Linked DNA regions of Danio rerio. The protein of the gene in region 1 interacts with the protein of each later gene in a pairwise test. Links are inferred from orthologs where the notes say so. Each region holds a gene or a part of one and is shown on either strand. Other genes may lie near its edges. The genes, in order: tex11, hyi and cdkn1a.

The links.
Region 2: the proteins of tex11 (region 1) and hyi interact in binary tests that used the Homo sapiens proteins (3 or more experiments, as listed by UniProt). The two-hybrid records come from large-scale screens. The link is inferred for Danio rerio from reciprocal best matches to the Homo sapiens genes TEX11 and HYI.
Region 3: the proteins of tex11 (region 1) and cdkn1a interact in binary tests that used the Homo sapiens proteins (3 or more experiments, as listed by UniProt). The link is inferred for Danio rerio from reciprocal best matches to the Homo sapiens genes TEX11 and CDKN1A.

Annotation. Positions count from the first base shown.
Region 1 is NC_133189.1:37,610,379-37,614,045, forward strand, and holds part of tex11 (testis-expressed protein 11), read left to right. Parts: intron 1-846; coding exon 847-919; intron 920-1,027; coding exon 1,028-1,177; intron 1,178-2,564; coding exon 2,565-2,673; intron 2,674-2,786; coding exon 2,787-2,907; intron 2,908-3,268; coding exon 3,269-3,436; intron 3,437-3,667. UniProt on the Homo sapiens protein: Regulator of crossing-over during meiosis. Involved in initiation and/or maintenance of chromosome synapsis and formation of crossovers.
Region 2 is NC_133181.1:3,331,066-3,333,923, reverse strand, and holds part of hyi (putative hydroxypyruvate isomerase), read left to right. Parts: intron 1-4; coding exon 5-119; intron 120-1,170; coding exon 1,171-1,249; intron 1,250-1,333; coding exon 1,334-1,383; intron 1,384-2,084; coding exon 2,085-2,154; intron 2,155-2,858. UniProt on the Homo sapiens protein: Catalyzes the reversible isomerization between hydroxypyruvate and 2-hydroxy-3-oxopropanoate (also termed tartronate semialdehyde).
Region 3 is NC_133197.1:619,940-623,039, reverse strand, and holds the end of cdkn1a (cyclin-dependent kinase inhibitor 1), read left to right. Parts: coding exon of another isoform or gene 1-5; coding exon 6-414; intron 415-965; coding exon 966-1,021; 3' UTR 1,022-2,525; downstream 2,526-3,100. UniProt on the Homo sapiens protein: Plays an important role in controlling cell cycle progression and DNA damage-induced G2 arrest. Involved in p53/TP53 mediated inhibition of cellular proliferation in response to DNA damage.

The DNA.
Region 1 (3,667 bases):
GTATTTCCCAGTGATGAGTTGCAGCTGGAAGGGCATCCGTTGCATAAAATATGTGATGGATAAGTTGGCGGTTCATTCCGCTGTGGCAACCCCAGATTAATAAAGGGACTAAGCCAGAAAGAAAATATTTGAATAAATGAAACAATAAAATTGGGTTTGATAGTTGGAGACCTTTTAGTCAAAAATAAATCATGCTCCTAAATGTTTATGGATTACTTTTCATTGTTAAAGATGATCTGCCTATTTGTTGATGTATGTATAAATTGTATACACTGTTTATGGGCTTAACAATAAAAAAATAATAGAAATAAAAGGTTTATGGATTACTTTCTTCTTTATCCATTCATTAATTTACCTTCGGCTTAGTCACACACTAAGTATTAAGAACAATTTAGTTCACCCAATTTACCTGTAGTGGTTGTCTTTGTACTGTGGGGGAAACTGGAGCAAACGGAGCTAACCCATGCCAACACAGGGAGAATGTGCAAACTCCACACAGAAATCCCAACTGACCTAGCAGGGACTCAAACCAGCGACCTTCTTGCTGTGAGACGACAGTTCTAACCACTGAGCCATCGTGTCGCCTTACTTTCTTCTTTTTAAACAAAATATACTGAAGAATGTTGTGGAAAAAATCAGCCATTCACATCCATATCTGGAACACAATTAATATGGGAGTCAATGGCTGTTTTTTCCCAACATTCTTCAGTATATCTTACTTTGTGTTCAGTTGAGGATGTGTTGTAACTATCCCTGTATGGGATAAACTCTCTCCCATTTCAGTTTTCACCATTCATGCAGTTAACCAGCAGAGGGCGCAGTTTAAAACATCTCCTTTACTTTCAGACTGAGCTGCTGACCCAGACTCTAGAAAACATTCAACTCTGTAAAGAGATCTGGACCACCATCAAAACATCAGGTGCATTTCCTGCTTCAATTATTTTACGTAGGCAGAATTAACTTCTACCTGTTTCTCCAAATTAACAAGGACCATAATCACTTTTTTTACATGTTGTTTCTTCATTAGGCATTTCTTCTCAAGACAAAACAGACTCATTATTGCTGCTCTATGAGTTTGAGGCTCGGGCCAAATTAAATGATCCAAAACTGGAGACTGTGCTTGAATCAGTTTTGGAGCTGGATAACATCGAGACCAAGCTGTTAGAAGTGATCGCAGGTCAGCTTCTCAAGACATAACCCTCTAATGCAGTGGTCTCAAATTTAATTCCTAGAGGGCCGCAGCTCTGCATAGTTTAGTTCCAACCACCTCAAAATCACACCAGCTGAACATTCTCTAGTAGTCTTGAACACCTTGATTATTTGGATCAGCTGTGTTTGATTAGGGTTGGAGCAAAACTGCAGAGCTGTGGCCCTCCAGGATTTTGAGACCTCCAGGATTTTGAGACCTATGCTCTAATGGATAATCAACTATTGGCTCTGTGTATGGATATACTCTACTATTCAAAAGTTTGGAGTTGTTTTTGTTTTAAATCATACTTTAATTCATTTATTTTCTTTCAGCTTAGTCTTTGATTTATCAGAGGTAGTCAAAATAGAATGAACAACCAACTATTCCAGCATATGTTTTAAACAGCAGGAACACAGTACTGGGAAACCTCCATACATTCTCACATTCACACACGCACTCATAAATTACGACAAATTTTATTCACCCAATTCACCTGTAGCGCATGTCTTTAGACTAGAGATGCCCAAACTAGGGCCTGCGGGCCAAAATTGGCCCATGATAACCTGTGATTTGGCCCACCATCCCATCTGAGAAGAGAGTAAGAATGATGGGCAGGGCTGGAGTCTTTTACAGAGATCCTCGTTTCTAATTTAATGTAAGCTTTTTTTGTTTGTTTTTATTGCTAAGCTACAAAAAAGCAAACTGAAATGAAGTGCTGTGACTGAATCAGATTTAAAAATATAAAAACTGACACTCCTCAGATACAGGACAATGCAGAAGACATTGGTGAGCAAATCGAGGCAAAAACAGGTGCAGCTTGAGTATTGTTATAAGTTCATTACACAATTAAAAAATCTATATTTTATTAGTTAATATAAATCAATGTTTATAGTTATTTTTAATTAATCATACAGTTGATTCTCTGTACAATTCTATCCATTAAAGTTTAAAACTCCTAAAAAAATTTTTTTTAAAAATGCAAATACAAATCCATCAGCGTTTCATTTCTGCCACCCCTGGGGGGATTATGTTATATTAAACACACAGCACATTGATTTTATGGCACCAGATTAAACCTTCTGACACCTTTACAGCACTCACGTACATTAAAAATAAACACAAGCCACAAATGAACATGGAGGATTGTCTCCAAGTGGCGTTCTCCAAAATTAAATGATGATTAGATTTGGACCTATTGGTATGTGTGGGCCAGTGTGTACGATTTATACAGCATATTTAAACCACCTCAGAGGATACTGGGGGTCACAAGTCACTGGCATTGTAATTTTAAGGGTTGTGAGCTAAAAACTTTGGGAACCCCTATTGTACAAAACGGCTGGATCTGATCTGATAGTTCTGTTCTTTGTGTCTACAGTGCTGGCAATGGAACCACCAGCCCATTACCCGGTACTTTGTAAGAAAGCACTGAAGATCGCTCTGTCTCTGCACAGAAAACAACCACAGGTGGACCTCATGCGCTGCAGGTCAGACGAGCTCAGTGTTTGCTACTTACACAATGACACATAACAAAAGACATTAAACTGTTTCTCATGTGACACACACCTTATACTCATGTGTGTGTGTGTGTATGTGTTAGTAACTGTTTACACAGCCTGATTCAGCTGAGCCTGCCGAACGGTGTGTCCGAGGTTCAGCCTTGCGTGTTGGAGGAAGTGTGGGGCTACTATGAGGAAGCTCTTTCCCTCATAGCAACTGCAGTGAGTTGGTTACGGTGACTCAGCAGGCATCACACACGACCCGCTGCAGCTCAGCCCCGCAATTATCCCCATCTTTGAAAGAATCTCCTGTTTCTGTCAATGGGCTTTTAGTTATGCCTCAGTTAGCAGATGCTCCATTCACCAGCCTCTTCCTGCCAATTTGGATGCTAATTTGAAGATCTCGCCTGTATCTTTTATCTTGGACTAGCGTTGCAGAAAACTTGCATAAGCATCAGGCTGCTATTCTCAATTCATGACCTTCAAGACACCATTGATATTGAATAGCATTCTATAATTCTGCAGCTATAATTACAGCGTTTAGACCAAACCATTCCTCCATCATATCTCTTTTCTATCACAGACCGAGGACTTTCCGGAGTTGGAGATCCTGTGGCTGCTGACCCGAGCGTGGAATACAGGAATCCTGCTCTACAGTCTGGCCCAATACCCTGAAGCAGAGAGGTGGTGTGGGCTGGGAATGAGCTTCTTGAGGTATCTGGGCTCTCTGCAGGACAGCTATCAAACTCAGGTATGTGCCTCTCGCTGTACAGCCATTTGAACACTCGGCACAAGGTGACACATTTCACTGCCACAATCCCAAACGCCACACCTCACCTGTCTAAACTTGTTCCTGGCAGACTTCACCCTCAACCATAAATAAAACCTGTGTCGGGTCTTTACAACGTGAAGGCCGGTGTGTTGGAGATAAACTCAGGATGTTGGCCTTCCAGGAGCCATGCATTCAGCAATTTATCTTCCA
Region 2 (2,858 bases), on another chromosome or scaffold:
CCAGGATTCACTTGATGGCTGGCAGGGTCCCGGCGGGGTCTGAACGCTGCGCTCTTGCCCTGCAGATGGAGGATACGTTTGTGCACAATCTGAAGCATGCAGCAGGTGTGCTAGACAAGGTGACCTTTGACCCCCTTAAAATTTCTAAATCAAAATTATAGAATCCAAATCTAAGTCATTAGAAATCCAATTCAAAATCTACAATTAAAAATCAAAATTGTAAAATTCCAAATTTAAATTTACAAAAAAAAAAAAAAAATTTAGAATTCCAAATTCTAAAGTTACAAAAATATATATATTTTTTGAGATTTCCAAATCTAAATTTTAGAGTTAATAATCAAAGTTTTTGAATTCTAATTTTAAGTTTTGAATTCTAAATTAACATTGTTGAATTCCAATTCAAAATATTAGAATTCCAAATCTAAATTTACAAAAAAATTTTTTTTTAAATTCTAAATCTAAATTTAATTCCAAATTTAAATTTTAGAAATATTAATCAAAGTTTTTTAATTCTAAATTAACAATGTTGAATTCCAAATCAAAATATTAGAATTCCAAATCTAAATTTACAACTAAAAATCACAATTTTAGAATTCTAAATCAAAGTTTTAGAATTCCAAATCTTTATTTAAGAATAAAAAAACTAAAAAAATAAATAAAAATTAAATTAAAAAATTTGAAATCAAAAGTTCAAAGTCCAAATTTTAATTGACTGCAGTCTTGTGTTCTTAGGTCTTACATATTTTTAAAAATTATTTATTTATTATTATTTACAGCATAAAATAATATATAACATAAATGAGTATATATAAATATCATTGTAGTCTTCCTCCAATGCTTACTGAAATACTCCTACAGTGCTTGAAACATTTGTTTTGTTTTTGATTTCGTGATGTTGTAACTCTCCACCGGGTCTCTACATTTAATACCGTGGTTTGGCTGGATGGTTTTGATGCTGTAATTTAGTGTAAGGCTGAATTTGAGAGCTTTTAAAACGATACTATACTATATAACTCTTCAATGCTGCTAATTTGATCAATAATCACTAAAAACTCTTTTACTTACACCTAACTTTTAGTACCTGTAGGTCACATATTTTGCAAAAAAAAAAAAAAAAAACGATCAAAAATTGTCTTCATCGCCCAAAAACAGTTTGTCTTTGCTCTTCAGGAAGGTCTGCTTGGTCTGATTGAGCCGATCAACAGCAGGATCACAGACCCACGATATTTCCTGCACTCTCCACATCAGGGTCAGCACTCTCTCACACTGAACATTGAGTGTGTGTTTTCTGATTCTGGATCATTTACTGATGTTTTATTGTGTTGGTGTGTAGCTGCTGAGATTCTGCAGAGAGTGGATCATCCCAGCATCAAGATGCAGATGGTTAGTTTTCTCATATTTCTCATATATTAGTCTGTCTGTCTGTCTATCTATTGTTCCATCCATCCATCCATCTATCTATCTATCCTTCCATCCTTCCATCCATCCATCCATCCATCCATCCATCCATCTATCTATCTATCCTTCCATCCATCCATCCATCCATCCATCCATCCATCCATCCATCCATCCATCCATCCATCTATCCTTCCATCCATCCATCCATCTATCCTTCCATCCATCCATCCATCCATCCATCCATCCATCCTTCCATCCATCCATCCATCCATCCATCCATCCATCCATCCATCCATCTATCTATCTATCTATCTATCTATCTATCGATCTATCTATCTATCTATCCTTCCATCCATCCATCCATCCATCCATCCATCCATCTATCTATCTATCTATCCTTCCATCCACATCCATCCATCCATCCATCTATCTATCCATCTATCTATCTATCTATCTATCTATCTATCTATCTATCTATCTATCTATCTATCTATCTATCTATCTATCTATCTATCTATCTATCTATCTATCTATCTATCTATCTATCTATCTATCTATCTATCTATCTATCTATCTATCTATCTATCCATCCTTCCATCTATCTATCCATCCATCCATCCATCTGCAGAAAACACACCTCAGACTCTCCATACACTGACTGTTCTTGTCTGCTTCTGCTGTTGTAGGACATCTTCCACTGGCAGATCATGGATGGAAACTTAACTCACAATATACGGAGATACTTACCAATGACAGGTAAACCTCACCGTTACTGCGGTAATACATAATCCTGCTGCAGTCTGTCTCAACCTAACAGACGTTATATTTCAACATCTTTACTATTAATAATTTTTAACATTCAAAAGTATTATTTTGATGAATTTTAGTAGTAGCGATTTGGCATTTTTACTTTATTTTGTAGAAAACTGAATAAAGAAAGTTTATTTTAGTGTGTGTGTGGGTATATATATATATATATATATATATATATATATATATATATATATATATATATATATATATATATATATATATATATATATATATACACACACACACACACATATATACACACATATATACACATATGCACAAACACCACAACAATAAAATAATAAAACATTTCTGTTTAAATTTCTACAAAATAAAATAAAAATGTCAAAATATTTCCTATATTTACAATATTAACATTCTAAGTTTGTATTTTTGTTGAACATTTTGTAGTAATATTTTGTCGATGTTCTGTGTTTATTTCAAGTTTTGTTTAACTGTCTTTGGTTATTTTAGTTTCGAACTTGAATACAAATTAGAGAAAAACAATACATTTTTGAGTAAAAACAGGCTCAGGTTTGATTTTTGTTGTGCTTTTTTACTATATTTTATCATGTTTATTGTTTGTTTTAGTATTCCAGCCTATATTAACAAAAAATAAATGCAATTATTTTGTTATATTAAGAATA
Region 3 (3,100 bases), on another chromosome or scaffold:
TCACAATGGCGGCGCACAAGCGGATCCTACGTTCACTCGGTAATGGGCCGACTAGGCGGAGTCTTTTCGGGCCGGTGGACCGCGAGCAGCTGCAGCGTGAGTACCGGGCGGCGCTACGGCGCGATCTGGAGGACGCATCGCGACGCTGGAGCTTCGACTTTGCGTCTGAGAAACCACTAGAGGGCGGAGACTTCCACTGGGAGGGCGTGTCCGGCGTGCGCGTGCCACTACTGTACCGCGCGTGTCAGGAAAAGCAGCAGAAACGGCCCTGTGAGGCTCATCAGCCCGGACAGTCCGCCGCTGGAAAGGAAAACATCCCGAAAACACCAGAACGATGTGCTGCACTCCCGCATGAAGTGGAGAAAACCCCAGAGAAGAGCAGCGAGCTGAAGCGCAAACAGACCAACATCACAGGTCAGACCTCTTTATTATTATTATTTAGTATTGTTATTATTTATGTATATAGCTATGTTTGTTTGTTGATTATTTTTTTAAATAACAAAAATTAAAGAAAGATAAATAAATAAATGTCGTAGTGTTTCTATAATGCAACTCTCTGATGATCTGCTTTTATGCATTTTTCTATAATACCCTATTAAAAGTGTTGAATTTTTAGATGTAAAGTTTTAAGTTTCTGTTTTTAAATTTTTCATCTAATATTTATATTTTAATGCATTTTTTAAATTGCGTATTTATTTTATATTGTACTTTAATCAACCAAAAACTTCAGCTAACAAACACGACACAGATTGATTTACATTATCGCATATTTGAATTATATACATAATCGCATATTGATAGATATTTTTACATTAATACAAATTTAGAATTAATTTTTTTGTTATAATAATGAACCACTGAGTGTAGTATTATTGTAGTAATATTAAACTGCTTGTATTCTGATGTAAATTTAAAGCGTGAGTTCGACTAATAATAAACAAATAATATCGTCTCTCTGTTCTCAGATTTCTACCAAGCCAAGAAGCGTCTAGTGGCCACGCCGCGCAAATCCGGCCAGTAGCTGAAGGAGACACACACACACACAGATAAACTCTTGACCTGCATCTACCTTCATCTGTCTGGAGCTGCATTCGTCTCGTAGCAGCGTTATTGACAGAAAACGACCTTCAGGAACCAGAGACGACACCGTTTATTCCGTTTTTATTTCAACCGTTTTATGTCAACGGTTAACATTTACAAGTGGAAATGTTCTGGAAAGATCCATTCCTCAGTCTTCCAGAGATTGTCTCTCGACGGGACCACAGAATCATGACAACTGTTTCATTACGAACAATATAAAGCGCTGATTTTTATTTCAGCGTGCACATATTCACATTGCCTTATTGCACAAAACGTAGCTAATGTTTTAAAACTCTAAACATTTGGTGCCAAATGTTGTTTTTTCCTCTTCTTCTATTTATAATTCTAACCCTTTATGTTATTTTACACATAAACCTTCATGAAGCTGCCAGTAAGTTCTCACATCTTTATCGTAATTGAGCTGCAATTACGTTTTTCTACTACATTAAACTTTGTTTAAAAAAAAAACACTTGGCGACGTTCATGAAACACGAGCAGATAGAACTGAGAGAACAAATTCATTCTTGCGTTTATTTTAACGAAAACATTTTTGCACAATTTTTTTTATGCAGTTTTTGTGTTGAAATAAATGTAGGCTTAAAGTTTACGTGCACAAAATGTTGTAAGAATTATGCAAATCTTTTGGAAAACATTTTTTTTTGTTAAATTTGTACAGAATTAGTATAGAAATGCTTTAAGAATAATTATAGCAACAAACTTATTCTACCAAATATATAAGAAATATTGCAATGACAATAAAAAAAGTTAAAAAATAAGAAATAAAAAAAACTGAAAATTAACATGCACATTTTTTTTACAAAGAATTAAATAATTATTTGCGCAATTTATTCGTGAAATTATTTTGTTGCATTAGGTTTAGCGTGAAAATCTAATTGCGTGAAACGTCAATTCGAGAATTAGAATTGACGCAATTTTACGCATTTCAATTTTAATACAACATAGATCAGATTAGACCACAAAAGACTGTTAAAACACAGCATTTTTCGTAACGAATTTGCGCAGAAGTGTGTTCTGCTCTTGCTCCATGAACGCTGACACTACATCATATTTACAAACGCTCTACAAATACATTAAAATAAACTTCATAAGAAGTACGAACACCAGCTTTCATGTGTTTCCTAATCAAGATCTCAGCTCTGTCGGCTTTCTGAAGTTTAGCATTCAGCTCTTTACCAGCTCTAGAACTCTGCTTGTTTTCTGCGACCCGTCTGTAAATATCCTGTTTATTGGATAATTCGCCGTCGATTGAGAATTGCACTTGGGGTTTCTTTTGTTTTGTTTTTATTTTTTGGAGTAGTGTAGCTTGCACAGGTCTGTTATTGTTAAAGAGCTCAAAATATATGCTGTATTTATTTTACAGATTAATATTGTATTGTAGATTTACATGTAATTGTTCTTGTAATAAAGCTGTTTATGATATAAAATTGGTTTCTTGTTACTTTTTTAATTGTCAGAATTCCTTTAGGAAACAGTTCAGAATTGTGAGATGTAAATTTAGATTTTGAAGAATGAAAGTTAGAATTAGGAGAAGTAAAAATTACAAACAAAAAAATATATATTGTGAGATGAAAACCCAGATTTTGTCAGAATTATCAGGTGTGGATTTACAAATCCAAGAAAAAAAAGTCAGTATTCCAACTCAGAATTCAAAGGAATAAAAAGTTGGAATTTTGAAGAGTGAATTGATAATACCAAGAAAAAAGTCAGTATTTCAAGATGCAAACTGGGAATTCCAAGCAAAGATGCCAGAATTGTAAATTTTAAACATAACATCAGAACTAAAAAAAAAGCAGTATTACAAGATGCAAACTTTGAATTCCAAGCAAAAAAATAAAACCGTATTTCAACATGTAAACTAAGCATTCCAAGAAAAAAGTATGAATTCCAAGATGCAAACGAAAAAAATTGGAATTCGAAGAAACAAAGTATTCCAAGATGCAAACTTTGAGTTCCAAGAGAAAAAGTAGGAATTCCAAGAAATGAAGTCAAAAGTTGGAGT